4 linked regions of the Lytechinus pictus genome follow. The protein of the gene in region 1 interacts with the protein of each later gene in a pairwise test. Links are inferred from orthologs where the notes say so. Each region holds a gene or a part of one and is shown in the gene's direction. Other genes may lie near its edges.

Region 1 (8,410 bases):
TCAGATCTTCTGAATATACCTAGTTTTGGATAAAGTTTAAGTCATTTTTCTTTGTTCGTGATTTTTCTATTCAATCAACACAAAAGATACCATATCTACACATTGCTACTGCTGCAATGCACAACAGGAAATCAAAACCAAAGAGGTTGGGCAAGAATCAGAAACATAACAAGCAAATCATAAACATGTGGAAACTGATAGGTAGGAAGTTTAGACAATACCTGTACCAGGAAAAATATTATTATAAATACACAGCAGCTACAAATGATTTTTCTTTGTCTACCCTTTACACCATAATATAAAGGGGTACAAATTTTAGCATAGGAAATATGAGGGCGAGGGGGTTTTCGCCCTCATGACAGCCCAAATCAAATGCATGCTTTGGGGCGACTATTCTTTCTAGAGTCGCCTCAATATCTGTTCCAAACAATATTTAAGACTATTTGAAAAATCATTATTCTAAATGGCAGAAGAATAATCATTTGCTTTTACTGCACAATTACTTTTTACCCTTAAAAAAGCCATTCAAATGAAAGAAATAGCCCCCAAAATTCTGCAAATTGCCCCCAATGTGGAAAAAAATGGCCCCTGAAAATAAGATCTATTTCCTACCCTCTCGGGTACAATACACTATTCCTGAAATAAGTTGACTTGTCCTTTCAATGAAAACAGAATATATGCAGTTCCAAATCATTTTACCTCACAACAAATGAGTCATCTCTCAAAACTTTCGGTTCAAAACATTTCTTGATATTAAAGTGTTTCCTTCAGAAAAACAGAATACTAGGAATCCAGTGTGCAAACATTACTTGTTGCTATGATGGGCAATCTTCAGAGTTGACAATGAAAACCTTAGTGTAATAGAATATTAGTAAATAGGTCTATAATGTATTTTATGGATTATGCCATGAATCAAATGTGTTGCTATGTCAATGCTTTAATTACCTCTTGTAAGGCATACTTAATACATACTTTGTTTAGTCACTTTCCTAGAGTGACCAGATGGAACCCTTACGAGGTACACCTTTAGCTATGTTGCTATGGAAACACATTGCTTAGGTACTCTTGTAATTCAGAACTGTACATGTTAATCTCCCCCTTCAATATAAAAGCATTTCTTGTGTATGATCTCTGGGTAAATGTTCATGTTCTGGATCGCTTTGAGAGCTCATATTTGCTCTATTAAAATCCTGAACTAGCTGAATCAGTTTGAAAATTGGTTCTGAACCAGGTCTAGTAGCAACACATACATTTCATCTCACTTCCTGATATTCAATTCTACCCTTATAGTACTAGTAGACCATTGCAAGCTGCTGACCTTTGCATATTTCCTGATAAATATAGCTATTAGCATTGTTATCTTTATTATAACAAATTATTCTGGATATGTTTCAGAATATTGATAAAAATTTGTATCACTATATAAGGACACTAGTGCTTAAACCAGGGTAATTTTATCCATAGTTATGTGGATGGCACATTTTACGATATGACATAACATTTATTTTGTGATTATTAATGTTATGTGTAAGCGTAGTTTATGGCTCACCTTTTTCATGTATGCAAAATGCTGAAGACAGAGGTGATCTGTAGAATGATTTCAAATTCTTGGAGCACAGCTTCAAAAGGAATAATGATAACCATTTATTTCAACATTGTGCCATGTTAATTGTCCTCAAATGAGTTTTGTACGGGTGTTATAGTTTGTGTTGCTACTTTCGAGTATTTTTAATGCAATTTTTATATCATTACTGGAAATGCTGTACCTATCCCGAGTTCCACATCTTGTTCGTTCAGCTGCTAGCAGCTATGATGATAGGCTTTTCATCACTGCACCCTATGTTCATTTATATATGTATGTTTTAGCATTTAACCAATGGATCATCAGTGGTCTAACCTATTGACCAGAGGTCAACGAGACCGAAGACCAGTAAAGCTGATTTTTTTTAACCAATTTCCCTCTGATTCCCGGGGGGGCCACTTCCATTGACGAGTGGATACAATGCGCGACCATGGGGTCTCGAAAAGCACCCTAAACACGTATTTTCCATATTCTGAAAATGCACCCCTTAACGAGTATTGGCGTCTGAAACCCTACCCTTAACAAGCATTGGAAACAAAACGATACTCTTGGCAAGTATTCCCTGAAATGAACCCCTAAAAAAGTACAGCGATATTTTATTATGTCACGGGTCCGTCGGTCATCGGTTTACCTTTACACACCATTTGGTTTAGTACGGCCCCACCTTCCACACCTCGTGCAAATCAGACTCTAAACACGTAATGTTGGGGCACAAAAGACATCCTTTATAAAACATTCAAATATTTTTAGCATCCCCGCAAATTTGACCCTAAACACGTAGCTTTCCTAGCGAAATAGATACCCTTTTTTCATTATTTTTGTGTTTTTGACACCCTTATCACGTTACGTACTTAACGTGCCCTATCATTAAAAAAGACATCCTTTTTACGTGTTTTTTTTGGTCGCGCATGGTATCCACTCGTCAATGTAAGTGGCCCCCCCCCCCCCCCCCCCCCCCCGGGCTCTGATTACTTCCTTTCTCAAGAGTATCAGAGATTATACACCAACCAAAGCTAAACAGCAATTCAATCAAACAAGATATGATACTGTAACGGCATGACACTGGAGCAGACATGAATATGTGCTTACATGTACTTATTGCATTCAGTCTGTTGGAATTCAGTCAAGTGGACATGAATCAAAAGTCTTAGGAATAAAAAAGAAAACACTCAGAAATCGAAAGCTCCAGGCGAGTCAATACATTTCATTCATAATTTATGTGAGGTTCATATTGAGATTGTCTTTGTATATTTTGGGATGTCAGTATAGTATATAAATATGAATATGGTGACTTCTGTTGATTTTGTTTTTTACACTATGTTTTTAATTGTCATGTTCTATGTAATTGTATTGAATACAATAAGTATTCAAAATTTATAGCACTGTTTGTGTGTAAATGTATTTACACAATGGGAATTAGTGGTTTCTGAGCTACTGAATTGCAATTGTTATTTTTAAAATAGTTTATTGAAGGCTTTTACTTTTATTTCAATGTAAAATAATCAATGTGAACATTCCTAATAAAATTTCACTTTCATATAAAATTCCATTTTTTTGTTCATCCTTTATTGGCATTGATGGGTGGGGGTCTTTGGTGTTATCATTTTGTTTTTAGATATTGCCTACATGGAATCTCGTCTAATAACCATTTGGTGTTAATCATTTGGTCTAATTGCCATTTTGTCAAACCATCAAATGGTTTAAAATCAAATTTGTCTTATACCGATGTGGTGTACACATTGATTTTGATCCATTGCCCAGTTTAACCTCATTTGGTCTACCATCATTTAGTCTAATAAGTCCTTGGTTTAATTGTCATTTGGTCTAATATCCCTTAGGTGCCTGTTATATGAAGAGATACAATCAAATTGTAACTCTTAGAATTTAGTACATGGTTTACCATAGATTTATGATTGATGTCAATCATGTTTGAGATTGATTGTGTTTTTCTTTTATATTGCAGGCCCCTGGTCTAATTACCATTTGGTCTAATCATCGTTATGTCGATACTAAACAACAATTTTTTTTGTTTTCTTTTTCTACAGCTACGTACGGACTACCCTCTGACCTCTGCATTGAGGGAAAAAATAGATGTTCATAAACATTAAATAAGATCAGGATAAAGTTTAGGGTCCCATGCCCACCAAGAAAAACTTGTTATAGGAGGTGTTTGAAAATAATTTGGTCACGCATGTGTACAGCAACACATTTGACTGCCCGCCCCCTCCCAGATCTTCCCTCTGAAAATTTGATTTCTTTTATGCGGTAAATGATTATGTTGGGATAATTTTCTTCGCTGTGATGTGAAATTTGATTTGTGCCGAGGTATAGCATGAATGAAATGAATGAATCCAGAATCTGATGTGATAATCGTGCACGAGTTAAGTAAACTTTTTGCAAAATAATAAGATGACATAAGTATAGAGAGAGATGCCAAAAGTGTTTGTTAAAATTAAACAGTGAAAAGGGGGAAAAAGATAATTTCAAACTATTTTTTTCTTATCTCTTATATGATTATAGCTTGACACTTTATATTCATTCATTGCTTTCACTTTGCCACAGATCAAATTTTACCCCACGTCAAAATACTTCCTGACCGTCTATCCAGGTGTAAGCATGTATCACATAAAAACGTTTCAAAATATTTAGGAAGAAATACTCTTTCCTGGCATATATAGGGCCTATGTGTTTACGATAAAGGACTTTTAAAGGTATAAAATTTTATTCTGACTCACTCAGTAGTTCGGTAGTTATAGGGTCTTAAAACCGAGTCTAAAATAGAAGGTTGTTTGAAATAATAGGCAACTTTGGTAAGGCCCATGCCATTCCAGAGAGAAAAAAAGGGGGAAAACAAGCGATTTGGCATGAACGTTCAATATCAACACGTCTACTGTTTATCTGACTGGTTGATGGGGTTGATGGCCCTGTGCTGAAAGAATATGCTTAGGGACAATATGTTTATGGCATATGTTAAGAAATAAAATCAATTTATTGCTTCAATAAAAGTGGAAATAAAACTTACTAAAAGGATTTTTTTTGGGGGGGGGGGGAAGTTAACTGCCTATCCTGAAAATTTGATCATATTACAGGTGTGATTGATATGCGACGTAGAAAATATGTCCAACTCAGTGAAATTGAATCTGCAGACCTATCCTAACCAAAATTAATTCAACGACATTGATGATTTGGTAAGTGTCATGCAGTCATAGGTGTAATTATTTATTCACTTATTTATTTTTGCTTGTTTGCTTTGGCAACTTTATATAAATATAAAAATAGTCTTAGATAAAGTAAAATAATATTTTTTTTGGTATCGGCAGCGGACTCGGAGCTGAGCTCTCTGAATCGGTGAAAAAAAAATCATGCAATATAAGCACAAGAGGGCAGCAGACCCGCGGTAAACTTGATTTTTGCAAAAGATAACAGACTTACAGTATTGATTCGGCCTGCACTTAATACTTCCAGCATATGATTGGCAATGTCCTTAATATCAACCCAACAAAGTGAAGAAGACGGGCAGCATGTGCTATCATTGAGAGTAGATAATGCAAGGAATGTGGCCATGGTTCTGAAAGCTATTCACTTCAAAGATCGAGAGGTAATTACTGTCTAGTGGCCAGAGACTGCCCAGAATCGAATAGGTGGGACTGTAGATTAACTTGGGGGAGGTAGCCTAAGTTGAGGACTCCATATGTCAAAATGTTAAAAAATATCATCATGGACCATGATGATATTTTTTAACATTTTGACATATACTTCTTCATCTTTGAGCCTTGAACCGCCTGTCATATATGTAAAGAGACACTTGTAGTTGTAAACAAAGATGGATTTCCCTAGCCTAGGAAATCCATCTTTTAAGAAGGTCCGGGGGGGGGGGGGGGGGGGGGGCAGTTAAATATATTGTTGAATGATGGTGGGCCCCAAGTCTTTGAGTTAAGATTTAACATGAATTTCTTCTTATTTTACAAAATCTTTCAGTTAATAATGTTCCTTATATTATCAAGAGTAAGTGTACCAAATTTCTCATTAAAAAATGAAAGAAAATATAGGATTTTCTTGAGAAAAACCTTGGTCAGTCATTTTCAGATTGCAAAAAAATATTACCCCATGTCTGCGCACTCATTCACTTTGCACACGATTCGGGGATTTTGATGAGAAAGGCTGCATTTTGAGACCGTCACATAAAATGCCCTAATAAAAAAAAAGGCCTAAATTCATTATTTTTCCACCATTTTGAGTCAGATTTTTTAATGAATACCTGTCTATGTATTGCATGTGTAAAGTTCGTGCTCGTTGCATATCTTCTTTTACTGGAATCGTGCAGATACGCGTGTGCGCAGACAAGGGGGACTGCGCAGACTTGGGGGAACTTGCCATACACACGCGTGACCAAGGAATTTCCAAACACCCCCTAAACGACTTTTTCTCTGTGTGCAAAATAACCCCCTAAACAAGTTGTCGCCAAAATATGACCACGGGGAAAAAGCTTGGGAAAAAAACATACCCTAAACACATTTGGCTAGTCTTAAAAAAAAAAGTTTTGGGGAAAAAACATTTGACCCCGCGATTGACCATTGACCAGTCTTTCAAAACCACCCTTTTTCTTGAAAATCTGTGTTTTTGATACCCTCAAACGAGTGCACGCGCGGCCCTCGTCCAAAACTGAAAAATACACCTTAAACACGTTTTTTTGTTCACGCGTGTGTACAGCAATATATTTGACTGGCCCACAGGTCTGACCCTTGAACCGCTTCGTTATAACGTACCTTCGATTAGCTATGTTACAAAATGCCGTTTTGAAGAACAATTTATAGATTCAATTCAATTTATTTATTAGGTAAAAATCACATGAGTAGATATATACATTGTAAAATGTGAGGATCAAACACCCTAGGAAAGCCAGAGGCTTGAAAAGCAGGGGGATCTATGACAGATAAATACATGTAACAGTGACACAAATACAGCAAATAAATTACAGTAGGAATAAAATTCATAGGAAATAGCAATTGAAATAATACATGAAACAAGTTACAATATTTACAATACATGACAAAACAAAATATATCATATAACTGTTTGTTTAGTTTTGGTTCAATTTAAAGGAATCACTTGTAAGTGGCAAGAAGAGGCTGTTTAATTTTAGCTTTAAATGAGGTAACGGTGGTCATTCTTTTAAGTAGTGGGTCAAGACTATTCCAAAATTGAGCCCCTTTGTGTTTAATAGAGTTCGTCTGTAGTAGTTTTAAGTGTGAATATGGCACAAATATATTCTTTCTCTGTCTTGTATTAACAATGTTTTTATCAACTGTAAGAAAATATTCATTTAATATAGCTGGTAACATGTTATTCATATATCGAAACATAAAGAGTGCTGCCTTTATTTTTATAGTATCAGTCAAATTGGCAGTGTTGAATTTTTTAAATAGAGGTGGAGTATGGGCAAGATAATGCGTGTTAGAACATAGACGAATTGCTTTCTTTTGAAGTACAATCAATCTGCTTAAATGACATGAGCTGGCTCCTCCCCAGACAAGACTGCAATAATCCAAATTGGGCAAGACAATGGCATTATACAAAGAGGGTTTTAAAGGACAAGTCCACCCCAACAAATACTTGATTTGAATTTAAAAAAAATCCAACAAGCATAACACTGAAAATTTCATCAAAATCGGATGTAAAATAAGAAAGTTTTGAAATTTTAAAGTTTTGCTTCATTTCACAAAACAGTTATATGCACATCTCGGTCGGTATGCAAATGAGGGAACTGATGACATCACTCACTATTTCTTTTGTATTTCATTATATGAAATATTTTGATTTTCTCGTCGCTGTCATGTGAATTGAAGTTTCATTTCTCCCTGAACACGTGGAATTCCATTATTTTAACATTTTGTGGTTCAGGGCAAGGAGGTCCTAATTGTCAAATTCGTAAAAATTGAAATATTGTATAATTCAAACAATAAAAAACAAGAAATACATGTAGTGAGTCAGTGACATCATCAACTCTCTCATTTGGATGTAACTGACTCGTTCATATAACTATTTTGTGAAAAATAAGCGAAACTTTGAAATGTCATAACTTTCTTATTTTACATCCGATTTTGATGAAATTTTCAGCATTGTGCTTGTTTGATTTTTGTCTATTGATTCAAATCAACATTTTTCCGAGGTGGACTTGACCTTTAAGTGGAAGCATATTATGTAATTTAGATAACATACCAATGCACATACTAACTTTTCCATGGATGTTATCTATATGGTTAACCCAAGAGAGCTTGTCATCTATCTGTACGCCTAAAAAGTTTATAGTATTTACCCTGTCTATTGCATCATTGTCTAGTTTTATTGAAAAATTTAACTGAGATCGATAACTGTGATTAGTACAGAAAAAACATGTATTTGGTCTTATCAGTGTTAAGAAAAAGTTTATTTGCTTTGAACCAAGTAGAAACCTTTTTTAATTCAGTGTTTGCATAATTTTGAAGTTGTGTTTTATCAGAAATTGAAATAAATATGTTAGTTTCATCTGCATATAGAATGAAATGTAATATTTTTGAAGTATTAATGTATCATTTACATATATTTAGGAAGAGCAAGGGACCAATTATGCTTCCTTGTGCAATTCCACAGGTCACAGGCATGGTTTCAGATTTAACTCCTTTAAAGCTTGTAAACTGTTTTTCGATTAGAAAAATAATTAACAAACCAGTCGTGCGGTATTCCCCGCACGCCATACATGATTTTATGATTTAAAGTGTCAAATGCCTTACTTAGATCGATATATATCCCTAACATAAACTCTCTTATCTAAACACGATGTAATATGTT
Region 2 (8,242 bases), on another chromosome or scaffold:
TGCTTGCCCCCCACAGGCTTCCCTCCCATCATGATGTCTTCAACACCAACTGAGGAAAAAAAAATCAAATAAGTCGAGTAAGGAATAATCCGCAGGGAGTAGGGAATGTACATCGACTACGTGTTATTATTTTTCATTCCTCAGATGTACTTGTTATTACACCACCCCCCCCACAGAAAATTCCGATGTTTTGCCAAAATGAAGATGGTTATCATATTAAAACAATATATTTCGTAGCGAAGCAGAGGAAAAGTGACAGCTATACATTATATCGCCGAGAAAGTGATACTCGCCACATTCCCTGATGAATCCAAGTGATCAGCAGCTTGCTTTATAAATTATATTCCTCATCGGAATTAGCTATATTTTAGATAAAATATAGTCCACCGTGTAGAACGAGTAGTATACTTTCATTTTGGGCTTCGGCTTACCCCAGGTAGTGTTTCACAAAGAAACTTACAATCGATTGTAAGCTAAGGTCTATTTACAATCAAGCACAGGTATTTTGATTAATTGCAATTTTGCAGTTTGCCCTATAGAAGCACGCCAAGTGTGCTTCTTGGATCAAGTTGTTTTAGTTAAAACCAATCTATCACTTTTGAATTTACAAATTAAATTCGCAATTGATTGCATAAAGTCGCACTTAAACTTTGTGAAACATCCCTATAGGGATAAAGTCCGTTGCAATTCTCGGGGTAATAACTTTTTTTAATCAAAGGTGGAATAACCTGGGAGATCAGCTAACAGCAGAACATCGCTTAGTGTTTGATGGCCAATCAATCACGTCAGGGGCCGCGGAACCGGGGGGCTGGGGGGGGGGGGGGGGCTTCAGCCCCCCACTTTTTTCCAAAACCGTGTACAATAATGTGAAAATGACCATATGATTGTGATTTTTAGCATGGTCAGCCCTCCACTTTGAAAACCGTTCCGCGGCCCCTGCACGTGATTTCACTTTCCATCAATCGGACATCAACATTTTTAGTATGTGAAATATTATAGAAAGTACTTATCTTTGAACTAGTTACAAAACATACTATAACACATAGAAATATATAAAGCTAGGCAATGTTTTATCTCACCTTGAGTGGACCTGTATTCATGCGGTAAGCAATATTTGGTAGGATCGGGTGTGCCATCGTTCCCAGTTACATGAGCAAAGAGCATGAGGAAAATAGTTATTGCCAGAGACATATTGGTGCTCCGGATCATTGTGGACGATTAAAAAAATATATATTCTTCAAGTGAGACAATTATCAACACAGATGTTCTGCTGTTGATGGTAAAGCAATGTCTAAGCAGGGCAGATATATTCACCCAAATGATATGTCTGTTACGCTCAATCCAAACATGTGAAATTGAGAGGTCGTGGCGCCACGGTGCCTGTGTGCGTGCGTGAGGGTGGAGGCATGGGGACGACCGCCCCTGTATTTTTCTAGGGAAAAAAGGGAGGAAAAGGAGAAGAATTTCTTTTTAAATGGTTGGGGCCGATAAGAATGAGAGGTCTGAGCCGTGTAACTATATATTACCATGATTACGTCTGTTAAAATATGACGCCATTTATAGATCGTCTTACTCCTTGTACAAACCATCCTGGCGCCGCCCCTGGTGAACTTATTCAATATTTGCTGTCACACTATTCTTCCCTGTTGTTATGGATGGTTGATTAATTATATAGAGATGAGCATTCACCATAAGACACGGATCGGTTGATAAGCAAATAAAAACAACCATTTGAAAAAAATTTTATAGTTCACCATAATAATGACTAATAACATGAATAATGACTATTATATATCGCCAAGATATTTTGGCGCCTTCCACGGTGATGGAAAGGGAGCCGTGGACGGTGGAGGGGTTGGTATGGTGGCCGGGGGACACACACACTCACACACACACGCTCACTCACCCCCACACACACAAAATCGTCCAACTGAATTACGGCCACCATGAATATGTCCTATCCTTTTTTATGGATACTGAAATATGGGGGTACATGCCCGTCGGAACGAATTTTGAATTGGTACTTTATGATTTTGTTCGGAACCCTGGTAACAATGTACATAACAACCCTCCATGGCGAGGTATAAACATGCAAAAGGGCTAGGCCTATAATCACTTACGGCATTCTCCCAAACGTCCCATCTGCCCACGGTCAGTTATACTGCGGACACACAAAATGGTACTTTCTTATTATGTCAAAATGTGCATTTGGGTGCAAACTATGCCAAGTGCAAAGAGATAAAAATAAGTTTGTGTCTGAAGTAGTTTTGTGTTTCGTATACTAGTGGCCTATAAGTTGAGCAAAACCATTTTAAATAGCTGTTTGATTGTTTGGAAGACTTGGGAAATTTTAAGTTGTAAAACTCGCTATGTGGTACCGTATATATTCTGGCGATGATTACGAACTAAATTATGTTTGTTAAATAAAAAAGTGACTGCAGGAAAACCTAGCTCCTTACGAAAGATATTTTTTATCACTTAACGAGAACTTTAAAAAATAGAATACATAAACCTTGGAGTTTGTTAGCTCCATGCATAATTCAATTCAATTCAATTCAATTTATTTTTCATTCTCCAACATAATACAAATAAGTACAAGATAAATTGATTCAATTTAAATAAAAGCATGAACAAAATTCAACATTGAATAAATGATATACATATTCAATAATTGATTCAAATATAAATTAACGTGCATGTCAAGTTTAAATCAATATAATCAATATAATTAAATATAATTATATCAATATAATTATATATCATGAGAAGAATGGAGGGGTCCACTGAAAAGCAAAGCTTGTAGAATGTGGACCTCTCAAAAAGTTAGATACAAAGAATATTGAAATATACGTAAAGGAATACATGAAGATAACAAAATATGTGCAGGGGCTGGTTCAATTTTTGTCAAATGGTGGCCAGACGGAATTTTTAGGCAATCCACATTTTCCAAGATCGGCAGCTATTAAAAAATAATTTTGTTATTGATTTTTAGGGGCATATGAGGATGGAAGTTTTAAGTAGACCTAAGCTCATAATATATCTCATCATAATGCCTACATAATTGCATGCGCGAAGCGCGAGCTCAAACTGTTGATTATTCAGTTCAGTTCAACTTTATTCAATTCCAATATTAAAAACATTTAACAACACTGTTGGATAAAAAATGCAATTCAAGATAAAATAAAGTAGTTCAATGGTATGTACATACATATTGAATAGAAAAAGTATTGAAATTAGGTATAGCTGTAAAAAACCATAAAGGTCTTGCCAAGACAGCTCCCTTAATAACATAAGATTTGATCAATTAATAAAAGCGGATAACAAATTCAGTAAATATTCAGTAAATAAAAATGAATTGCGTCTTGCACCGGTACCAAGACAAACCCAGTACAAACATACATGTAAAGGGTAGAAGAGAATGAAAAGCAGAGGGGGGGGGGGGGGGATTGAGAGTGGAAAGAAGACAAAAATCATTTAAAATTCATCGAGAGTCACGTTTGATCAAGTTATTACCTTGAATTTAGACCGAAATTAATCATTCTGAGGAGTTTTGTATTCATGAACAAGATGTGTATTTTACTAAAGTTTTTTTTCTTCATATACTGACCTAGCTGAAAAGGGACCTGTAAATGCTTGCAGTTACTAATGTATATGATACATATATCACAAATAAAAACATGCGAGTGTATAGCGCGAGTGGTGAATATTTTTTACATTCCGTCCGGTAATGACTCTAAGCACTTTCAGGATCCATGTGTATCACGCTAACGGGAGCCACAAACTCATATTTCCTGATTAACTTTTATAAGTTCTTTCACCAACTGCGGGAAAAGGTTGCTTATATGCCCCCTACAAGGTAATATTTGTGTAACAAGATACACAACAATTTTTAAGTAGAAATTAATACGCCTAAATTATTTCCCTTGGTGTCCGAATAAAATTATTCCTGTACCTGGAACAATATCTTGTTTAAGAGAGAAATTAAATGAGTTAATGTAGTTTTCATAGGTGGATCCGGGTTGGGGCCGAAGTAGACACCCCCCCCCCCATTGACAACGCGATACCGAAAAAGAAAGAAAAAATAATAATTAAGGGGAGTGTGAAGAAATACAAGAGAGAAAGGTTGTGTCATGTGTATGAAATGATGATGATAATAATGATGAAGATGATAATAACAACAACAATAATAATAATAATAATAATAATAACAACAATAATAATGATAATGAAATAATAACCATAATTGTAAAATAAACAAGTAAAAATAAATTTATTCTTATATTTTAAGGATTTAACAAAGAATTAACTTGCCACCTCAGTAACAAAATCCTACTTTTGAATTCAAAACACAAATTTATGTATTTTTTTAAAAACTTTTCACACTGACTCACAGTTCTTCTCAATCATTACAGTATTATAGAAAATTCTAGTAGGTCTACAAAGACTGATCATTCAAAGATACAAAAGTCTAGCTGTTTCCCATGTAGTACTGAAGAGGTTCAAATGAGTTCGGCACTCTCGGCTTTAACTTGATAATTATCATAAATTAAGTTAATAAAACACCTGAAATATTTCTCATATAGTATTAATCAAATAATCTTATGACGATGATGACTGGCAAGTCATAAAAAGGGTAAATTAATCACCATTTTACGCTGACCTAGTAATACGCTTTTGAAAGAGCACTTCTTTGATATCAGTATCATTTATAGTACGTTGCTCATGTGCTATAAACCGCCATCAACGACCAATTATTAATACAGAAGCATGCTCGCGATCGCTTGAGCATAATTTTCTCTATGGGAAATTGTACAGCAGATCGATCCCATCTAATCGAAATTGTGCATGGAAACGAACCCGGTAACGTTGGATCTACTGCCGAAGTACAGTAATTTTTTCGTCGTTTAATTAATGGTAATATAAAGCTTATATCATGTCTACCCTAAAACAGTTGACTGTCAGTGGGGAGAGGACATCGGGAGATACAGTGAGGACACAAAATGGTGAGTTTTATGTAATTAATCAGTGAGTATCAAGACGAGTCGAGACGAAAAGATTGACATTTTGTAAGAAATTGTAATTTTGTATGAATGGTGGTGCCAAAAAGTCTGCGCACATTACTTACATGACCTAACGTTATTTCGTTAGGCCTAACAATTTGAGGTCATATTTAACATGAATTTCTTTTAATTTCACAAAATCTTTCAGATAATAAAGAGTTCCTTAAATTATTATGAGTAAGTCAGTGTACCAAATTGATCATAAAGCATGTAAAGATTTGAAAGAAATAGGATTTTCTTGGAGTTGGATGAAACCTCGGCATGCTCGGGCACTCATTTTCAGATTGAAAAAAAAAATGGTAGACTATACTTAGTAAAACTTAGACAGCTGGCAGCCATCGGCAGGGCTCGAAATTGGTGGCGGCGCGGTCTGGGGGCCATTGACCGCCTAACGTTAAAGCTCCGTCGGGCACCCTAAAAGTCAGGTAATACTAATAGTGCCCGGGCTTAGCAGGGGGCCTGTTGCATGAAAGGGTCTTTCGTAGAACCATTCTACGTAAGAACGAGATATCGCTCAACTGTTTCACAAAGTTTCACGAAGCCGATTTGGGCGATACGAAGAATGGTCCTTGGAAAGACACCTCCAGACATGTCCTACGTAGGCATGATCTTCTTTGCACACCGCCCGCCACTGTCGGCATTAAGAGAAAATGCGTTTACGGCAAGCAGGGTTGGCGCGTTTTAAACGGTGTGTTTTAAAACGCGTTTTTTTTTCCAGGCAGCCTCTCATATTTTTCATTTTAGTCTCATACAATCAGACACTTGATTTTGTTTACTCCATTCAAACCCTATTTCTACCTCAACAGATAATATATTAACGCGTAATTTGCAAAATCATCATTATATATATGTATTCAATAAAAAATCAGTATATTGAACTAATAAAATGTCGAAATTACTTAGTTAACTCAATTTTTATGTCAGACAAGGGTCTCTTTCGTTGAAATATCAATGAAAGGTGTCTCTAAAAGGTCACCATGTTCTAAATAAGGGACATAATGAAAATTTCGATTTTATCCAGTTATGTTTGTGAATCTTGAAAGTTTTTAAATTTATCTTTTTACCTCATAAAGTACGCTCCATAGATCAATTCTACAATCAGTAATAAATAAAACATTATTTGATCCCCTTTTATTGAAATATATGATTTTATGAAAAGTCGTCATTCCGAAATAAAAGGTTCAGGTGACGATGAAGACTAAATATTTTTCCGATACTATCGATATCAAACGATGTCGTGGACTTGAAAGACAAAATTGCCTTCGTGAAATGGAAAGCGCTGATTTGTCGCCAATCTTCCTATCTCGGAAGAATGGTCCTAGGACATTCTTACGTATCGCTCATCTCGTCATGCAACAGGCCCAGGGAGGCTTCTGGGGAGTAAAAGTCATCTATGATCTACTATTAACTATACGTAGGCTTACTCCTATGAAGCCTGGCATGGCAAAGCATCATGAGCATAGGCCCACACGAAGGAGAGTATTTGGAGACAACAATGTTGCTCCAAAATACTTGATTTGTTTAACTTGCTTATCACACAATTTCGTAAATGGAAAAGAAGTTCATTTCCCCCCATTAGGCACTCATAACGTTTTTTTTCTCAAGAATAATTATACAAATATTAAGAAAAATCATGTAAGAAGATGAGCAGATACTCACCGATGATCTTGACGCCATATTTCCGTCTTTGTTCGTAGCCTAGTTACAAGACGCGTATAAGAGAGGGCGACGATATGAGCAGTGCCAATTAAAAAAAAAAAAAAATTCAATTGGCCGATGAATATCGTGAATTGTAAAATACTTGCATTAGCCCATAAATATTTATTGGCTAATTCAAGTATTTTACAATTCATGATATTCATCGGCTGATTTAAGTTTTTTTTTTTTCATTGATCGGCCTATTGAACTTGAAATAAAAGTTAAGTCCTTTCATTATAGTATCAAATTCATCGTGTGGTGAGCTTGTTGTGTATAATTTGGTGATTGAGGACACATTTTGTGATGTTGGGAAATGGACATCGACAATCATGATCACTTGTTTATGTTTTGCCTCATCCAAGTACATTTAGTATTGGGGGTAAAAAAAGGAAAAAAATAGTTTACATATGTGACGGACCAAATCATGACAACAAGTCTTGGTTTGATAATATTTTATCACACTTTATTCACTTTATGGAGTGAGTGCACTTCAACTTTTCCGTGGCAACGACTGTTAACTTGATGTGATGTTTTGACAATAAATTTATCATAACCATGATCATGCTTTTATTTCAGGAAATTTCATTGACACTTGTTCATTTTAAAACGTACCTCTAACTTTAAGTCTAAAAATGAACAAGTGTCAAGTAAACAAAGGTGTGAAAAGGATCATGAGTAATTTTTTAAATCTCCTTTGAAACAAAGGCTTGAGTTTGTCCTTTTTAATCCACAGAAAGGTTCCACCAGTAATGTAGTGTTTCGCAGCAAACTTACACATACAGAGTTGATACACTTTACAATTTGTCATGATACAATATGCATGTGATGACCACCTAAACTGCCATTTGACCACCTAAAGTTCAGTCCAGGGTACCCGGCTGACTTCCAAAAATTAAAGTTAATTGAGAGGCCTGCATCTGCTTCGAGTTTTTTAACATTAAAAAAAATGTTCTCCTTGTACATACATGTAGCCTGGAGGCTCCTGGAGAGTAAAAATCAGTCTACTATACGTAGGCTTACTCCCCATGAAGCCTGGAATTGCTTCCCATACAGCTACACATACCGTCCCAAAACCTGAAACTTTCGCCCCCCGAGATTTCTACTTTCCCTCTAAAAGATCTAGCCCTAAATTGTGTACATGGGGTACAACTTCATTTCCGACATTTCTACAATATTGATTTCATTTTTAAACAAGAATTCATAAAAAAACGAGAAAAATGTTATGAAAAGACGGGAAGAGCTTACGGCCGTGTTTACGTCGCCATCTTGATTTCTTTGTCTTTCGCTTGGCGACAGCATGCAAACCGCGCGCCACTAGCCCACACAGTATAGCCTATGGGGATGGGCCAAAATGTTGTATGCATTACATTTTATGGAGAATTTAAGCCTTTATTTTCACTATTAAGGAAATTTTATGGTAAGTTTTGAGCAATATTTTTGACAATAATGCTATTAATAAAGAATATATCAAGATAATGCTTTTT
Region 3 (7,538 bases), on another chromosome or scaffold:
CAGTAAAAAGTAGGATTCGTACTAAATTTGATGTACAATGTTGTGATTTAGTTAAAATTATTACTTGAACTATGATAATGACATTATTTGGGGCTAACCTCGATTAGCATCTTGATATTAATATGTTATCTCCAATTACCAAATGTTTTGTTCATATGTGATGTTCCAAGTAATTGTACCTGACAGTGAGATTTGGTATTTAAAAAATCAAATTCAATGCAATTCAATTCAATCATCATCTTCATCACCACCATCGCCGCCACCACCACCACATCCACCCAGCATCACCACTATCATAACCACCAACACCACTCTACAACCATCATCATCATGCACCGCCACCATGCACCACCACCACCACCATTATCATCATCACCAATATCATGGATATTGTCAATTTTTCCACTCTTCATACATGTAATATAATCTTGATGATGATGATGATGATGATAATGATGATGATGATGATGATGATGAACAACGGGGATCATTTCAATGAATATGGTAAGATATAAGATAAAACTCCATAAAGACATATTCTATGGGTATGAGAGTATAGTGATATTTGCAATGAATACGTGACAACATTGAACATACAAAGCATAGAAAAATGTACATTGGGACAATAATTGGGATTATTATAGTTACATGACTATAATAATAATAATGCCCTTTTTTCTTTTATCCTCTTGATCTTTATTCACAATAACATGTACATAATATACAAACAATAAAAAAATCAATTCAATTAAAAAATGCAATAATTTTTTTGAAAATAGCATTTTTTTTCTTCAAATGTCCAAACTTGCTTTTTTTTACATAAACTTTCTGAATAAGCAATAATAATATAGTAAACTGTAATTATGCCTTTAAAAAGTCAAAAGTACAGGATATTTAATCAACCTGCCAGGGGCTATGGGTGTCGATTGGTGTTCAAGTTGGGAAGGACTGACATAAATATTGTTTTTTTATCACAGGACTCTATAAGGGATTTTTCCCCTTTTAGTTTAAGAGGGGGGTGTCTTAACTGTCTTTGGCTTTAGGCGTCTAATATTTTTGGGGACCAGACATGGCGTAATGATTAAAAGGGCAGATTTTTTTAAAAGCCTGTCTACGAGCAAAAATGTTGACCTTTTGGATACAAAATCAAATTTTGTGATAGATGTGTCATTCACCCTTTTATTTTCCCATCTTTAAGTATTTTCTCCTTCTTTCTTGGTTGTGAAACTTTTTTGGCCATGGCCCCAAAATTTGACGGGTTCCAGAAATGGCATAAAAGGTAAAATTTATTCCCAAAAAGCTGCGAGTGAGTGAGTGAGAGAGGAACAATTTTGACTTTTATATATACAAAAGAAATCTGTGATAGATTTTGACATACAGGTTTATACTATATGGGACTTTTTTTTCATTTTCTATTCTTTCTTGGTTGGTCAGTGGCAGTAGCGTACCGTGAACCGCAGGAGACAAAGCATTGGGGGGGCAGTGCATTGTCTGTGAACAATGCTTTGCCCCCCCCAATGCTTTGTCTCCTCCGAGTCACGGTACGCTACTGGTCAGTGGGTACAAGGCTCTATAAGCCCCACGTCTCAGTGCATCAGGGGGGGGGGGGTTAGTCCTTAATCAGACCGATGGTGTTTTTTTAGTAGGCTATGTTAGCTTCGACGAGCGCGAAGCGTGAGCTGAAGTTAATTTTAGTTGGATAAAATTGCCAGAAAATTAACCATTTTGATGACTCGTATCGGTTTTCATTTCCCTTTAATTCCCTTTAAATTTAAATTCTCATTACTTTTGTATGTACTCCATTTATTTTACATTATGAACCCGAAGAAAGAAAACTTAAAACAAAAATAAGTCGGACATTCAAACGGGTGTTAAAATTAAAAGGGGCACATTCCATGCGCTTTCGGGGAGGAGTAAAAAGAGAATGCCATTTTTTTTCGATTTCTCCTGGAATTTGGTTCTTTCTCAACTTATCTAGTTTCCGTAAGGAATGGTTTAATTTATACGTAGCAGTAAACATAAAATAATGAAGAAAAAAAAAAAACGACCATCAATGATCACCATGCGTAAAGTGCCAACCATCCAGGGACCTGGGAAGCGGGGGTGCATGGGGTGCTGCGTCACCTGCGTGTATTATTTTCCATAGGCAGCACCCCCACGAAACCGGGTTCCCCCCTGTATTTTTTTAAATATGTTTTAATCTACATAATTATCACATCCGACAATCGCAAATCATTTACATATAGTCTTTCACATATTCCAATAACATCCCTCTTATAACGCGACTCAATCAAGCTCCAGCGGGGCAGCACTCCGATACAGACGTGGTCGCGCGCAATACGTGATAACCATACACACTCTTCAATAGCAGGGAGGGACATGGGGGTGGTTGGACTTGAAACTTCCAGGTTTTATGTCGAATCAAGTGAGCGCGCGCCCGACCGCCCGTGTATTGTATACACAAATTGCAAGTCAGACAATAAAAATCAAATTTCAGTCTTTTTCTGTTTTCTTTTTCGAAGTGGGGGTGCTGGGGGTGAAGCACCCCCAAATTTTTTATTTCCGCTTGCGCTTCGCGCTCGCATCAATTGTATAGTTTTATACCTATCCTCATTATGATTAGAAAAGTGCTTCAAATCTCTCGGTTTTTTTTGGCTGAAATCTCAATTTTGTTTCCGCTCGCGCTTCGCGCTCGCATCAATTGTATAGTTATATACCTATCACCTGTTCGTATTTACAAAACGTGCTTAGAATGTCCAGTATTTAGGTCAGAATGTCAAATTTTCAAGCTCGCACTTCGCGCTCGCATTATTTGATTGTTGATATATGTACGCGTCTTCATGGGTAACTGCAAAACAGTCCATAACACGTCCCTTTCGATCAGGCCAGAGCGTATATAAAAAATATCTGTTCGCGCTGATCGCGCTCACAATGATTATTTGTTACATACGCATCTTGGACCACAAACATTGCTCAAAATGTTCAATTTTCAGGACAAAATACATGAAATTTCCACAAAAAATAGCTCGCGCGTCGCGCTCAAATTGTCTAATTATATATTTATGTTCTTTTATAAGAAGAAAGCTAAGAAGTGACTGTCATATTTATGTATATATATACATATATATATATATATATATATATATATATGTATATATGTGTGTGTAATTATGGAAAACTCAATTGTGTCTGCCCCCCCCTCACCTTTGAGGAGAGATTTCAGCACCCCCACTGAAAAAATCGTTCCCAAGTCCCTGCAGCAATCATCATGATACTATTGTTATTTTATTATTAGGCCTATTATTATCATTATCATTATTATAATAATTTTTATTATATAACCCTCTATCCCCATGGGATCGACACCCATGTCTTCGGGTAACAGCACTCCTAAAGTTGTTGTTTTGTCCAAATATGCATCCCTTCTGCTTGCATGCATGGGTTTGTGTGCATGCGAAGTGAAGCATAATCACAAATCGGGCATTTTTTCAGAAGGCAATTTTTCTCTATAGTAAATAGCTTATTCAACTGATCTGTGAATCAGTTTTCTTGGCTTCATTCCTTACTGAAAAACGGGCATATCATAATAGATGATGAAATTCATCACCTATAATCAATATGTCCAAAGGTCAAAAGAAGGGCGTATATCTCGCTGAGACTGGCTTCGAGGCATCCCGCGAGGCATCCACTCCCTCCATATATACTAGGAGGAATAAAAAAAAATCAGAAAATTCTTGAAAAAAGCTCCTCCTAAAAACAAAAACAAACAAACTCCAGAGTACAGCGAATTTTTGAGTCCATAACAAATAACGTTACATAAAACATGACATTATTTAGACCCCTCTATACCGAAAAATATGTGCTATCATACATGTTTAATATTAATATTAAAACAAAGGAAACTACGATAATTATGGTAGAATATAGTGTTAACAAATATATTGCTCTAAGAAAACAAGGGCAGATACTATACTAGTAATCTTGTCAAATTATATTCATAAGTTTGCCACATGTACGCAGCATCTTTCTCAATGATTTTTTGCTGTAGCGATTTCATTGGATTGAAGAAACGACTTCGTAACTTCCGCATCTGGGTCACGAAGTTCGTCGCCGCGTGGTCCGCTGTGATTGGCCAATACTTGACCCTCCTTCTTAGTTGACCAATCACAGCTCGACATTTGGCTGCAGACTTCACGTGTACGTCTACCACCACAACATCTCGTAGGGTTGCAAATCACCATCAAATAGTGCAGATTTTGTCTGTACTTTCCCAGTGGCACACGTATTCCATACTTGTTTAAAGTTATAGCTTCAAGATGAGGATAATTTTGGCATGTTTTTGCTTGATGCTTGCTGCATACACGAATGCAGATACATATTTTGAGGAACGATTCGACGACGGTAAGTTCTTACTGGCCTGCCCCTGGGGCCAGGTCCTGCATGTTCGGCTATCGCCTACGGAACCGGTAGGTGCCCATCCCACTCCTTGCTCCCCGATCTGGCCCGGTCAACCAAACTGGTGCTTGTTCAAGTTGTTGAATGATGATCATGATGAATGATCTATCATATGGCTATGTTAAATGATGATTGAAGTAGGGTTTAATGAACTTTTGACTATACACGTCTTTCTTTGTTTTTCAATTTTTTTTAATTTTTTTTTCGATGGAAATTGCTGCAGACCTAATTTTTATCATAAACAAGACAAAATTAAGTTTAAATAATCAGTAAAAGTCGAAAAAGTGATACATTTATGAATTTTGGCTAAGTACACAATTTGCATTGGATTTGTACATGAATTCACGTTTTTGAGCAATTTTGGGTCTGACATGCACTTACATAATGTTGCGTAATTTTGTAACCACGTAACTGGGCATCGCAAATTTGATCCCCTAATTTCCAGATCCCCTACATAGAAATTGAACAAATTGACAAGAAAAATTACACAATCAGTTATCTGTAACCAAGTTGTAAGTCAAAGTAACAAGCAAGTCCACAACAGTATGAGTTAAGCAAACGCTTACTTCATAAGGTATTAAAAAGTCATTAATTTGTTGTAAGAGAGTTCTGACTTCTGGTGACTTGCAAGATTTGATTTTCACTGGAAGTGAATTCCATAAATGAGGGGTTGCAACATAAACAGTTCTGTCGCCCAAGGACCTCTTCACTCAAACTTCTTTAGTTGGTGAACATTCCCTGAAGACAAGGTCTTCATTATCTCTTCACCTCCAGAAGATTGATACACTGGCATGTGGTTTGTTAGAAGCTTAATAAAACCAAGAGTAGATCTTTGTATTTTAGTTTTTGCCTAACAGGCAGCCAGTATAATTCCTTGAGAACTGGAGTGATATGCTCAAATAGCTCTGAACGCTTCACGAGTCATGCGGCAGAATTCTGGACCTTCTGTAATCCTAACAATTCAACCAAAAGTTTTGTTTTACTTCAGAACTGCAAGGAAAATTTTTTAATGGTTCTGCCACCATCTTGGCTTTAATCATGGAAAACAGTTGCACTGTTTCAATGGGCAGATCACTCAGTCCAATATATTGGTATAATAGGGAATCTATATGTTGTGAATGCATTGGTCTTAAATCTTATCTTTTCATATTGATTTATAACAACAATATTGAAATTGAGTCACACCGTGATCAAATGCTAGACTACAGTAACTGCTGTTGTTCTCCTATCATTAGTAAGAGAATAGTGTTTACAAATTGGGCATGATGCGAGTTTTTGCTCTTTTCTTGTTGCCAGTGGCAAGCAGTGTTCATCATTGCATACGCCATTGCGCAATACGGTGAAAAATATTCACAAGATGACAGTGCTTTCTTACTATACTATGTTTCAAATGATCATTTTATACTCCCAACTGCTTAGTCATGGACTGCTAGTTGATGCAAGTTGCAAAACAATTTTTTTGTTTCTTACCTTCCAGAAGATTGGGAGTCTCGTTGGGTTGAATCCACAAGCAAAGGCAGTGATGCTGGCAAGTTCAAGTGGACTGCGGGAAAATTCTACGGTGATGCTGAGAAAGATAAGGGTAAGACTTTCGTCTTGATCTTTTTTTCAGATCGGCTTTTCTTAACTAAAATGTACTTGACACATCTTCAGTTCTATTGTATAGATTTTAATGAAAGCAACATGCAATGTAGGTAGGGTCTGGGAGGCCTTAAAAAAGCCAGAGTGTACAAAATGTAACAAGAAGGAACTGAATTAGCTGGGACCAGTCAGATATTGATTTTACGTATTTGTGTCTAGTTCCAGATTTCTAAATATGATGCTGCCATCCATGCCTATCTATTTATTTTACACAAAGTAGATCTGTTATAAAATATATTTCCCCTCCTTTTAAACTAATTTCCTGATCACTTTACACTCAAAAAGTAAAGAATCTTATCCTATGCTGTATTGTTTGATTTGACTTCAACTTTACAGGTATCCAAACTAGCCAGGATGCCAAGTTCTATGGCCTCTCTGCAAAGTTTGAGAACGAGTTCAGCAATGAGGGCAAGGATCTTGTCATTCAGTTCACTGTAAAGCACGAGCAGAAGATTGATTGTGGTGGTGGATACGTCAAACTCTTTGCATCGGACTTGGAACAGAAAGATATGCACGGTGATTCTCCCTACAACATCATGTTTGGTAAGGACATTTCTCTTCGATTCATTTTATTTTTTTCTCCACTTTTATTAAAAACAAAAAAAATACAATAAATACATGTATGCTATGATGATTACAGTTATCAATTTGATGTGCAGTTGAAGGAAACTCCACTTTTCAGGAATCATACTTGGAAGCGAAATCTGACTTCGCTTTTATCAGACTGTGCTGTGTTATCTAATATTTTCATGTTTTCTGTGATTCTTTGAAAAAAAATCTACAGAGCATTCTTACCATTTCCCATAATTTTTTTTTAAAATCTTGAATCTTGTGTTCATGAGGAACACGCAGAGAGAAATAACGTAAAAGCAATGCGTCAAACCAAATTGTAGAAAAATATTAGGTAACTGACAAAAGAAGCAATGTCATTTATTTCTGAACAATTCATTCTTCCTCATGGATTCCATTATTTAATTCCCAGTTAGTGTTGTGGAAATGATGGAGGTTGGTTAGGCCTTGGTTATCTCTCATTTCCTCTTCTGCTACACATGTATATTCTCAATGATGTTCATTTTCTAGATTGTTTGGTTGAAGTTGGTTGGTAATAATGTTGAATTCAGAAATTTTACTATGTCTTGACTCCCCAGCTGCTAAAATAATTACTGGGCATTTCAAGGATGGAGCAGTACACAAAATTCCTTAATTAATGTTTAGAACAATGCACCTACTCTTCACATAATACTATGTTTCAAACCACAATTTGTTTTTACTGCATAGATAAATGAAACAAATGTGACTTTCCTCAAAGATGTTCTCATTAATGTGCAGTGAGTTATAAGAGAACATTACTGCATCCTTACCATCTGTTAGCATGCGTGGTTATCCTTGTCAAGCATCTGGTTTTTAATGATGACTAATGTTTAACAATTGAATTTTGAAGT
Region 4 (8,533 bases), on another chromosome or scaffold:
GACTTGAAAACTAAACGTTTTTACATGATTCTATATCAAAACAAACTCGGTTTCTGCATCGGTAATTGAACAACATGTGCATCTCATTAAACACAATGCCAGTGCGAAGCGCAAGTTGAAAATTTTGGGATATTTTGACTTGAAAACTAAATATTTTCCATTTTTGTACAGGTTGATTTAATTTGAAACAAACTCAGTTTCTGCATCTGTAATTGAACAAGATGTGTATCTCAATAAACATAATGCGAGCGCGAAGCGCGAGCTGAAATTCCGATTTACCATCTCGAAAGGGAACATTTTAAGCACTGTCCAACATGAAGGAGAATGGTTCCCTGTCGGTACCGAAGTATGAAATGACAACTCTTGATACTTTGACCTGAAAACTGAACTTTTTCACAATTTTTATAAGAACAAACTTAACTTCCGCATATGCAATTGAACAAGCTGTGTATCTCAATGCGAGCGCGAAGCACGAGTGGAAATTTTCGATATTCTGAGGGAAATTTAGGTAACATTTTCACTAAAAATATGATGCGAGCGCGAAGCGCGAGCTGATTTTTTTAAATATTTAGACTTTAAACCGGGACATTCTTATCACTGTCGGTACAGAAGGGCGAGTTGAGAACTATTGATGTTTTGACTTGAAAACTTAACTTTTTCACACGTTTTTTTAATATAAAGAACAATCTAAGATATGCATATTCAATTAAACAATCTGTGTATCTTAATGCGAGCGCGAAGCGCGAGCGGAAATTATTTGATATTCTGAGGGAATTTTAAACAACATTTTCAGCAAAATTTTAATAAATATATGATGCGAGGGCGAAGCGCGAGCTGAATTTTTGAGATGTAGATCTTAAACCGAGACTTTCTAATCAGTATTGGTAGCCTATACAGCGAGCTCCCCACGATCACAATGCGAAAAAAATCTTTCTTTCTTTCTTTCTTTCCTTCCTTCGTTCCTTCCTTCCTTTTCCCCTTTTTTTTCTCTTTTTCCCTTTTCCTTTCCTCTTTCTCCCTTCTTTTTTCCCCTTTAGTCGCTCCTTTTTTTTTCATTTTTCCCGACGATATCCAAATAGTCCGCGACCGAAAAGATAGTACATGCCTTGATTTCTGTAATGTCCTTTTGTTTAATTTACCGCAGGCTCAGTTATATAAGCTTCAGAATGCAGCTGCTCGCCACTTTGTCAAGTAAACGCTCTCATATCAATCCCATCTTGTATTCGCTGCACTGGCTCCCTATTAAAAATCGGATTATCTTTAAGATTTTGTTGCTTGCTTTTCATAGTATTCTTGGATCAGCACAACACAGTCTTTCATTTATCAATTACTACAGACCAAGCAGGTCTTTGCGCTCATCCACTTCTGGCTTCCTTGTCATTCCAAAAGTTTCAAAAACTTGGGGGGAAAGATCATTTGCTTTTGTGGAATAGCCTTCCTGAAGACACTAAAAAATGTACCTCTGTCGAAGCTTTCAAAAATCTTCTAAAAACTTTTTTATTTAAATATTAGCTCTTTATGCGCCTTGAGCACTCTACAGAGTGGATTTGGTGCTTTATAAGCCACATTATTATTAAATTAGTGGGGGGGGGGGGTGTCGCCCCCGGTCCTCACCCCCTTTTTAGCGACGGTCCTGCCCTGATCGTACATGTGAATATTTTCATGGACATCTTCATGGATTTCTCCAAGAATCAAGTTCCCTAGCTATTAGTCAAGAAAAATACATAAATGTTTATAGGTTGTTGCCCTTATCATAATATCCTGGTACTAAGTAATACTGTATAGTGCCATTGTTTTGGGTTTCGGTGAAAAGTGCATAGATACAGGCTATATCTTAATCCAAATCAATAAAACAAGAAAGTCACTACTAAATGTAATTGCCATTTTAAAAGAAACTCTTCCCAATATCAACCTCATGTTTATACTTAGACAGCTGGCAGCCGTCTGTTTCGAGGAGTTTTTTAACATTTTATTTTTTTTCATTTCTCTGAGTGGAGCCAACGGAGTTTAGCGGAACGACCAACATAACAGAGACCGAAGCTTTTGGTCTAGGATATACTATGAGTATAAATGAAACCATTTATGATTTGCTATTTTCAAATCACGATAGACTTTTTTTTTTCATTCGTTAACTTCCTCCGTTCGATCTCGCTGTTGGTCGCTAGCTAGCTAGACAGGGTACGCTATCGATATCGCTAGCTAAGCTAGATCAATTTGTCGCATCACACCATAGAGATGTATACTAGTAACGCTAGAGGGCGTACTTCGTCAAATCGCTGTGATTACGTGGAGACCGTCCGCCATTGCTCGATAGGTATTCGCAGCCTGCCATGCGCGTACAGTACCTATGGGGCATGTACACGGATGAGCACAGAACATGACAAATTGATGACATATGAGCACGAAAGCATATGGAAAAGCAAAATTGTAAATATTGCACTGGATTAAAGTTCAAATACAACAAAAATCTAGCAAAACTGAGGTCAAAAGGCCTATATAGGCCTATCTATAGCGCATAATATAGGCCGATACAGCTATAATACAGGCAAACGATTTAAAGTCCCAATTGTTTTTGCTTAGGTAAAATTTCGATACATTAATATGACTTCTATTTTCTAATGATTTGGAAGAGATGAATATCAAAAATAACATTTAGGCCTAGGTCCTGATATATAAATTTAATGTGTTTTAATATGATTTGATGTACATTAACCTAAGAAAATTCATAGGCCATATCACAGTGTCTGATGCATCTGAGACGCTGTATCGAAAAAAAAACCACGATTGTATTTTTATAGTTCATAGTTTCCTAATTACTATTATGCTGATTGCTGATAATTTATTTCTTCACTTTAGATAATTGTTATAATTCATTTTCCATATATATATCTACACAATAGGGCCTATAATAACTCGATCCCTTTTCCCCATGTCTTACACGCTGATGTAAACCAACATCACAAAAACTCGCGAATCATAAAATGACTTTTTATTGATATTTGGAAATGATTTACGCATTGATTCAGTTAAAAATTGATGATTTAGATTTCCTTTGCTGGCAACCATCCCATCATATTTATAAATATGTATATAAAAGTATACTTTCTTACTTGCGATCAATGTATAGAAAAGTTTGTTGACAGCAAAATTTGCATATCAAATGCGCGCATGCAGTCGTACAATTTTGCAATGTACAGGAGGCCTAATGGGGGGTTGGATGTTTATGTACAGTGTTATTGCCTTGCAAACATTTTAAAACTTCGGAGAGTAAACAAATCACAATGCGCAAAACAATTTTACTTTGATTTTCTGGAAAGTATAGACTTGATTCTCCCCGGCTGAAAATATGCTGATCGGCAAACTGGCTGAAATATTTTGTTTATCGCCGTTGTTTCTGATCCTATAATGATTGGACCAATATCATGTGAACAAATCAAGGATAGAATAATAAGGAGAGGAAGAAGGGGGAGAAGGAGAGAAGAAAAGGGGCGGGATTATGATATATAATTTGTATTATACTATAAAGAATATTATTACTACTGCAAGAGTGTATAAAACTAATATCATGAAAGACATCAATGCAAACTTATCATAATTATGAAAACGGTTGCAAAATTGTGAGTACTAAAACCAAACATAATTATGAAACAATAATATTGCAAAAGTGACAATACTTGGAATAAGATATTAAAGATCCTAATTTAATCTCAAATTTGATACCTGCCTTGAAATTGTGTTAATTAACTGTGTCTGTGTCGCTTGAATAAATGAACTTTATGGCAAATATTTGTAAGCACTGGCACCGGCCTAACATATAAACAGATAAACACGCGTTTTGAATATCCAGTTTTGTTTTTCATTTTAAAAGTATAACTGAATTTGATTTTCTAGTTTTCTTCCTTTAATGTCATTTGCTGGCCTATGGACCTGAGTTTGGTTATTCGATCAGTTTTTTTTTAAATAAGATTTCCATGGATGAACAAAATTATTATATTATGTTACGGCGTCGCGGAATGATTTTGAAAGTGATGGGGTGTATAAAATCACAATCATTTATTATGTGTAATGTTCATTTTCATTTCAGGGAGGGGTCCGGTCGCGCCCCCTGTATTTTATTTTGATCAGTATGTTAAAGCGAATTTGCTTAGGTGTGTTTGTTATTTTAATTGCACACACGGCCCCTAAAAAGCGAATTAAAACAAATCTAACTTAAAGTGAAGGGAATTAAAACTGTCATTTTTGAAAAGTTTGAACAAATTAGGCTATATTCTCGACATTTTAAATCAATATTTTATTTTCGGGCCATATAGGCCTGCAGATTTTGGGGAATTTATTATGTTCCTATAAGAACAAAATCAGCACGTTCACCAAATAACACGAATTTCAACATTGATGGTGTAACGGGAGGCTCACCAAGAACAATAATGAGATGCCCTTTAATAGCGCATGTAGATCAAAACACTAACTTATACAGAATTATTGTACAACTTAATATATAAAAATGATAGGCCTATATTTCATACAAATTGAAGCAAGTTACATATCATGTAGGCCTATATAGAAATTACAAAATTATATCCAACATAAACATAGAATCAAAGGACGTATATGTGGGAAGGATGGAAGGAGGACGATGCAGTTAAAGGTAGGGAAATCCAGAGAAGGGCTAATTCACTGCAGTCTTTTGAATTAATTGTCAATCTTTCTATTAATGTCCGCTGTATGTTTTTATTTTTATATGATTGTTTATATGATAGTATATCAACATTGTTATCTATTACAGGCCTATAAACGGACAGGTAAATGCAAATTATTTAGAATTTCATCCCGAGAAATCAGGTTTTTAAAATGCCAAATTAATAGCATAATCCCCATGTAATCACTCTAATAGTGTATTGAGATGCAATTTGTCATTCATATTTTCGATTTTTATGAGGTTGTATTCTTTTCTTCAAGATAAAGGCCGGAGACGGCACCCCTTTTCACAGCGTTACAACGCACGAGCTATGGGTACATCCGGGTACTTTTGCGAATCTATACCTATCGAGCAATGGCCGCCACGCTCCACACAATCACAGACGTTAAGTACGCGCGCCTATGGCGACTCCGCACTCTAGCGTAGTTAGTATACATCTCTATGCATCACACAGATACATGATCACGACCGTGTTCTCTCTTACTTATTGAGCTGGAAAGGAAAGATAAATAATAACGATGTCTGTGAATCAAATTGAGATCATAGAAATAGACAAATGGATCGAAGAGAATAAGAAGTTTTTTCTCCCACCTGTGTGCAACAAGATGATGTAAGTGAATAGGCTCAATCGGTCTGCAAAAATGAGGGCAAGCCCCTACCGGCTACCGGTACGGTACGGTTATTAAACCCAGGGAGCTCCCGCCCGCGCAGCGGGCGGGAGCCCAGGAGCTTACCGTGTATTTGACCATAGGCATAGTCACCGGACTAGGGTGATTTATGGTCTAAATATTTCTCCAAATGAATTGTGAAAACAGAAAGTATACAATAACCACGATTATATGGATGAAGGTCTAACGAGTGGCAGTTTCCTGACATCTGGGCACAGACTGGAACCTCAAAAAAACGAAAACTTAAAGTTCTCTCCTCTACCCCAGTCCCGACCCCAGTCTCGATCGGCCATTTTGTTATGATAATTGATATGATTCATAACAAAAATTGCCGATTTAGACTGGGGTAGAAGGAGAGAACTTTTCGTTTTTTTGAGGTTCCAGTCTGTGCCTCGATGTCAGGAAACTGCCACTCGTTAGACCTTCATCCATATAATCGTAGTAAGTGCATAATTTCTGTTTTCACAATTCATTTGGACTTGGAGAAATATTTAGACCATAAATCACGCTAGTCCCGTGAGTATGGTCAAATACACGGTAAGCCCCTGGGCTCCCGCCCGCACAGCGGGCGGGAGATCCCTGGGTTAGATATAACCTTGACTTGTTCTCAGTTATATGTTAGGGCCTATAGTATAGTATATTTATATTATAATCTTGTGACTTTTGTGTGGCAAAAAAGGGTGGCAATGTTTGGCTTATTTTCACTTTTTCTTTGGGACAAATGCTTCATTTTTTTTACACTGACAGTTTCCATTACACCTATTCGTCATACAACTTGGCTCTTAAGTAAATTTGATTCTTTAAATTATTATTTTCTTAATTAAAAATAGAGATAAAAAAATGACAATTTTCTTGCCATATTACTTTCCACCAATAGAGGGCGTACACAAAAATATGCCCAAAAATCAAGTTTTTGAGCGCTCTGGTGAATACAAAAATTATTCCCAAGTTACTAATGAAAAATAAATTGCAACTGTATGAAAATTAGTAATTTTGGTTACAAAAGTGATATTTTAATGATTTTTTAAAGCGTGTGCTCTGTACAACATTGGCATACCATAGTCTGTCTAGACCAAAAGCTTTAGTCTCTGTATTTTGGTTGTTCCGCTGAACTGCGTTGGCTCAATCGCCAATACATAGACTGAAGAGCTTGGAGGCCCGTACGTACAGACAACGTATTAGCAGTAACGTTAGTTCTAACTTACTCTAGCATTCGGCGAAAACCCGATATTCCGATCGTTTTTTGTACATAAAATGTCACATTATGAAAAAGAAATCACATCCATATTTACGAAAAAATGTTTAAAATTCAGAAATATTGTACCTTAGACCGCAGTTACCGCTAATTCCTTTAAAATGATGATCGAAACATCGTCATCTTCGATCCTTTCGTTGGTCAACGTAAGTTGCCATCTTGGACGACGTCATCATCCTTACAGACGTATTTACCAGTCGCTATATATCGAGATTTGTGCCGCTGCTTTGCGCTTGTAGATGTGCCTTGATCGCATTGATTGGCCAGGATATAGAAAATTTAATCGGAAAGCCTTGATAAAAGCACAACTCGTTGAACGTAAAGGACAACAATGCACGGCTGCCATTTTTTCCTTTCCGGCAGAAAATTTAAAAAAAAGGAATAACGGGGGAATAACTCATCGGTAACGTATATTTTCGACATTTTTGTTGAATTTACATAGTATCAAAAGAAAGATTAAAGTCTAACGAAAATAGTGGGCCTTCGTTCAAGATAATATAATGTCATTTAGAATCTAAAAAAAATTAAAATGCAGGCTCGCACTAACACACTACCGTCGGTGAATGGGGACTACAGTAAAATGTCAGAAATTGTTGAATAAATCCCCGGAAACGACGGTTATTCCTGTCTAACCCTAGTCCTACCTGTAGATTCCCCACAGGCAGGATGGTTGCAGTGAACAAGTGGGCAGTATCCTGACATCGAGGCACAGACTGGAACCTAAAAAAAAACGAAGTTCTGTCGCGGTAGCTCTTCTTTCAGAATTCATATAGTCTAGTTCTAGACGATTTTAAACGAATCTATTTGCACCACGATATAATATGTTCTATTCCGTGCGTACGCCCAGCCGAGTGTGCGCGCAAAACCGAGAACCTGTACTCCGAGGAAAAATCGTCTAGACCAGTTGCTCTGCGGTGACGTCAGAGGTCAAAGGTCAACGGACGAGTGCTTCATAAATATGCATGAGTTACTTGTCAATCTCGCCGCGCCGAACAACAGTGCAACGTTGTTTACGTTTTGCACGTGTTATCAGCTGTGTGCATGCATTGTACACATGGGATTGATGTAATACTCAGTAGATCTATGTGATATGAATACATGTACACGTATCATACGAAAGTTTGAGATAGTTCATTATTTTTAAGGCTACAAATAGACATTTCATTGTTGGGAAATTACTGTAACATGCATAGGCCTATAGTTATTTCACTCAATGTGCATATCTTGGTTAAATCTGTGGGTATGATGTATACCATCATGATATATGAAAGAAGGTGCTAATGTACCAAATTTCAAACTTCAAAACAATACAGACTAGTTTTTCCACTTTATTCAGATGGAATAATTAATATATACAAGTTTGAATGATATATTTTATATTCTTCTTCATCTACACATGTAATTACATAGAGGTAATTTGTCTTAGTATGGGTATTGAAAATTAAGACTCATAAATGTAAACTCTCATTCTTGTGAATGGATCACATCACGGTACATTTTACTGTGGGCACTTGTAAATATATCATTTTCAATGTCTTCTTTACATATTTCACTGTCAGAGAGTATGACAAAAAGGGTTGAGAAGTACATGTACTTTGTACAGATTAGTACAGAGCTGTGAAAGGGATAAGGAAAACAGAATAAAAATCATTAATGATTTTTAAAAGTAGATTAATCTCAGGCTCACAAAAATTTTGTATGCGGATTTTGATGCGTGCAGTGCATCAGATTTTGGAAGAAAATCTTTGCAGTTGTCCTTGGAACTTTTAGTTTATTTATTTACTTTACATGAACATCTAGATAATGCGTACAATTATTTTTGTTGTTCAGCTACATTATAATCTAGCTACATGTAGCCAGGAAATGATATTGCCAATGATGTACATGAAGCCTCTTCTATAAATAAAGGCACCT

What was found.
Region 2: the proteins of cell cycle checkpoint protein RAD1-like (region 1) and T-complex protein 1 subunit alpha-like interact in a two-hybrid assay, tested with the Caenorhabditis elegans proteins (2 studies listed by BioGRID). The link is inferred for Lytechinus pictus from reciprocal best matches to the Caenorhabditis elegans genes mrt-2 and cct-1.
Region 3: the proteins of cell cycle checkpoint protein RAD1-like (region 1) and calreticulin-like interact in a two-hybrid assay, tested with the Caenorhabditis elegans proteins (2 studies listed by BioGRID). The link is inferred for Lytechinus pictus from reciprocal best matches to the Caenorhabditis elegans genes mrt-2 and crt-1.
Region 4: the proteins of cell cycle checkpoint protein RAD1-like (region 1) and 3-hydroxyanthranilate 3,4-dioxygenase-like interact in a two-hybrid assay, tested with the Caenorhabditis elegans proteins (2 studies listed by BioGRID). The link is inferred for Lytechinus pictus from reciprocal best matches to the Caenorhabditis elegans genes mrt-2 and haao-1.

Annotation. Positions count from the first base shown.
Region 1 is NC_087246.1:3,921,955-3,930,364, reverse strand, and holds the start of cell cycle checkpoint protein RAD1-like, read left to right. Parts: upstream 1-4,953; 5' UTR 4,954-5,060; coding exon 5,061-5,180; intron 5,181-8,410. UniProt on the Caenorhabditis elegans protein: May be a component of the 9-1-1 cell-cycle checkpoint response complex that plays a major role in DNA repair. Promotes DNA double strand break-induced cell cycle arrest and apoptosis, thereby playing a role in genome stability.
Region 2 is NC_087249.1:18,796,924-18,805,165, reverse strand, and holds the start of T-complex protein 1 subunit alpha-like, read left to right. Parts: upstream 1-4,701; 5' UTR 4,702-4,933; coding exon 4,934-5,003; intron 5,004-8,242. Other genes in the region: uncharacterized protein LOC135154109, read right to left, coding at 1-49, 1,080-1,209. UniProt on the Caenorhabditis elegans protein: Molecular chaperone; assists the folding of proteins upon ATP hydrolysis. Known to play a role, in vitro, in the folding of actin and tubulin.
Region 3 is NC_087255.1:31,562,528-31,570,065, forward strand, and holds the start of calreticulin-like, read left to right. Parts: upstream 1-4,141; 5' UTR 4,142-4,316; coding exon 4,317-4,401; intron 4,402-5,932; coding exon 5,933-6,037; intron 6,038-6,432; coding exon 6,433-6,639; intron 6,640-7,538. UniProt on the Caenorhabditis elegans protein: Molecular calcium-binding chaperone promoting folding, oligomeric assembly and quality control in the endoplasmic reticulum (ER) via the calreticulin/calnexin cycle.
Region 4 is NC_087251.1:11,571,295-11,579,827, forward strand, and holds the start of 3-hydroxyanthranilate 3,4-dioxygenase-like, read left to right. Parts: upstream 1-5,068; 5' UTR 5,069-5,306; intron 5,307-8,533. UniProt on the Caenorhabditis elegans protein: Catalyzes the oxidative ring opening of 3-hydroxyanthranilate to 2-amino-3-carboxymuconate semialdehyde, which spontaneously cyclizes to quinolinate.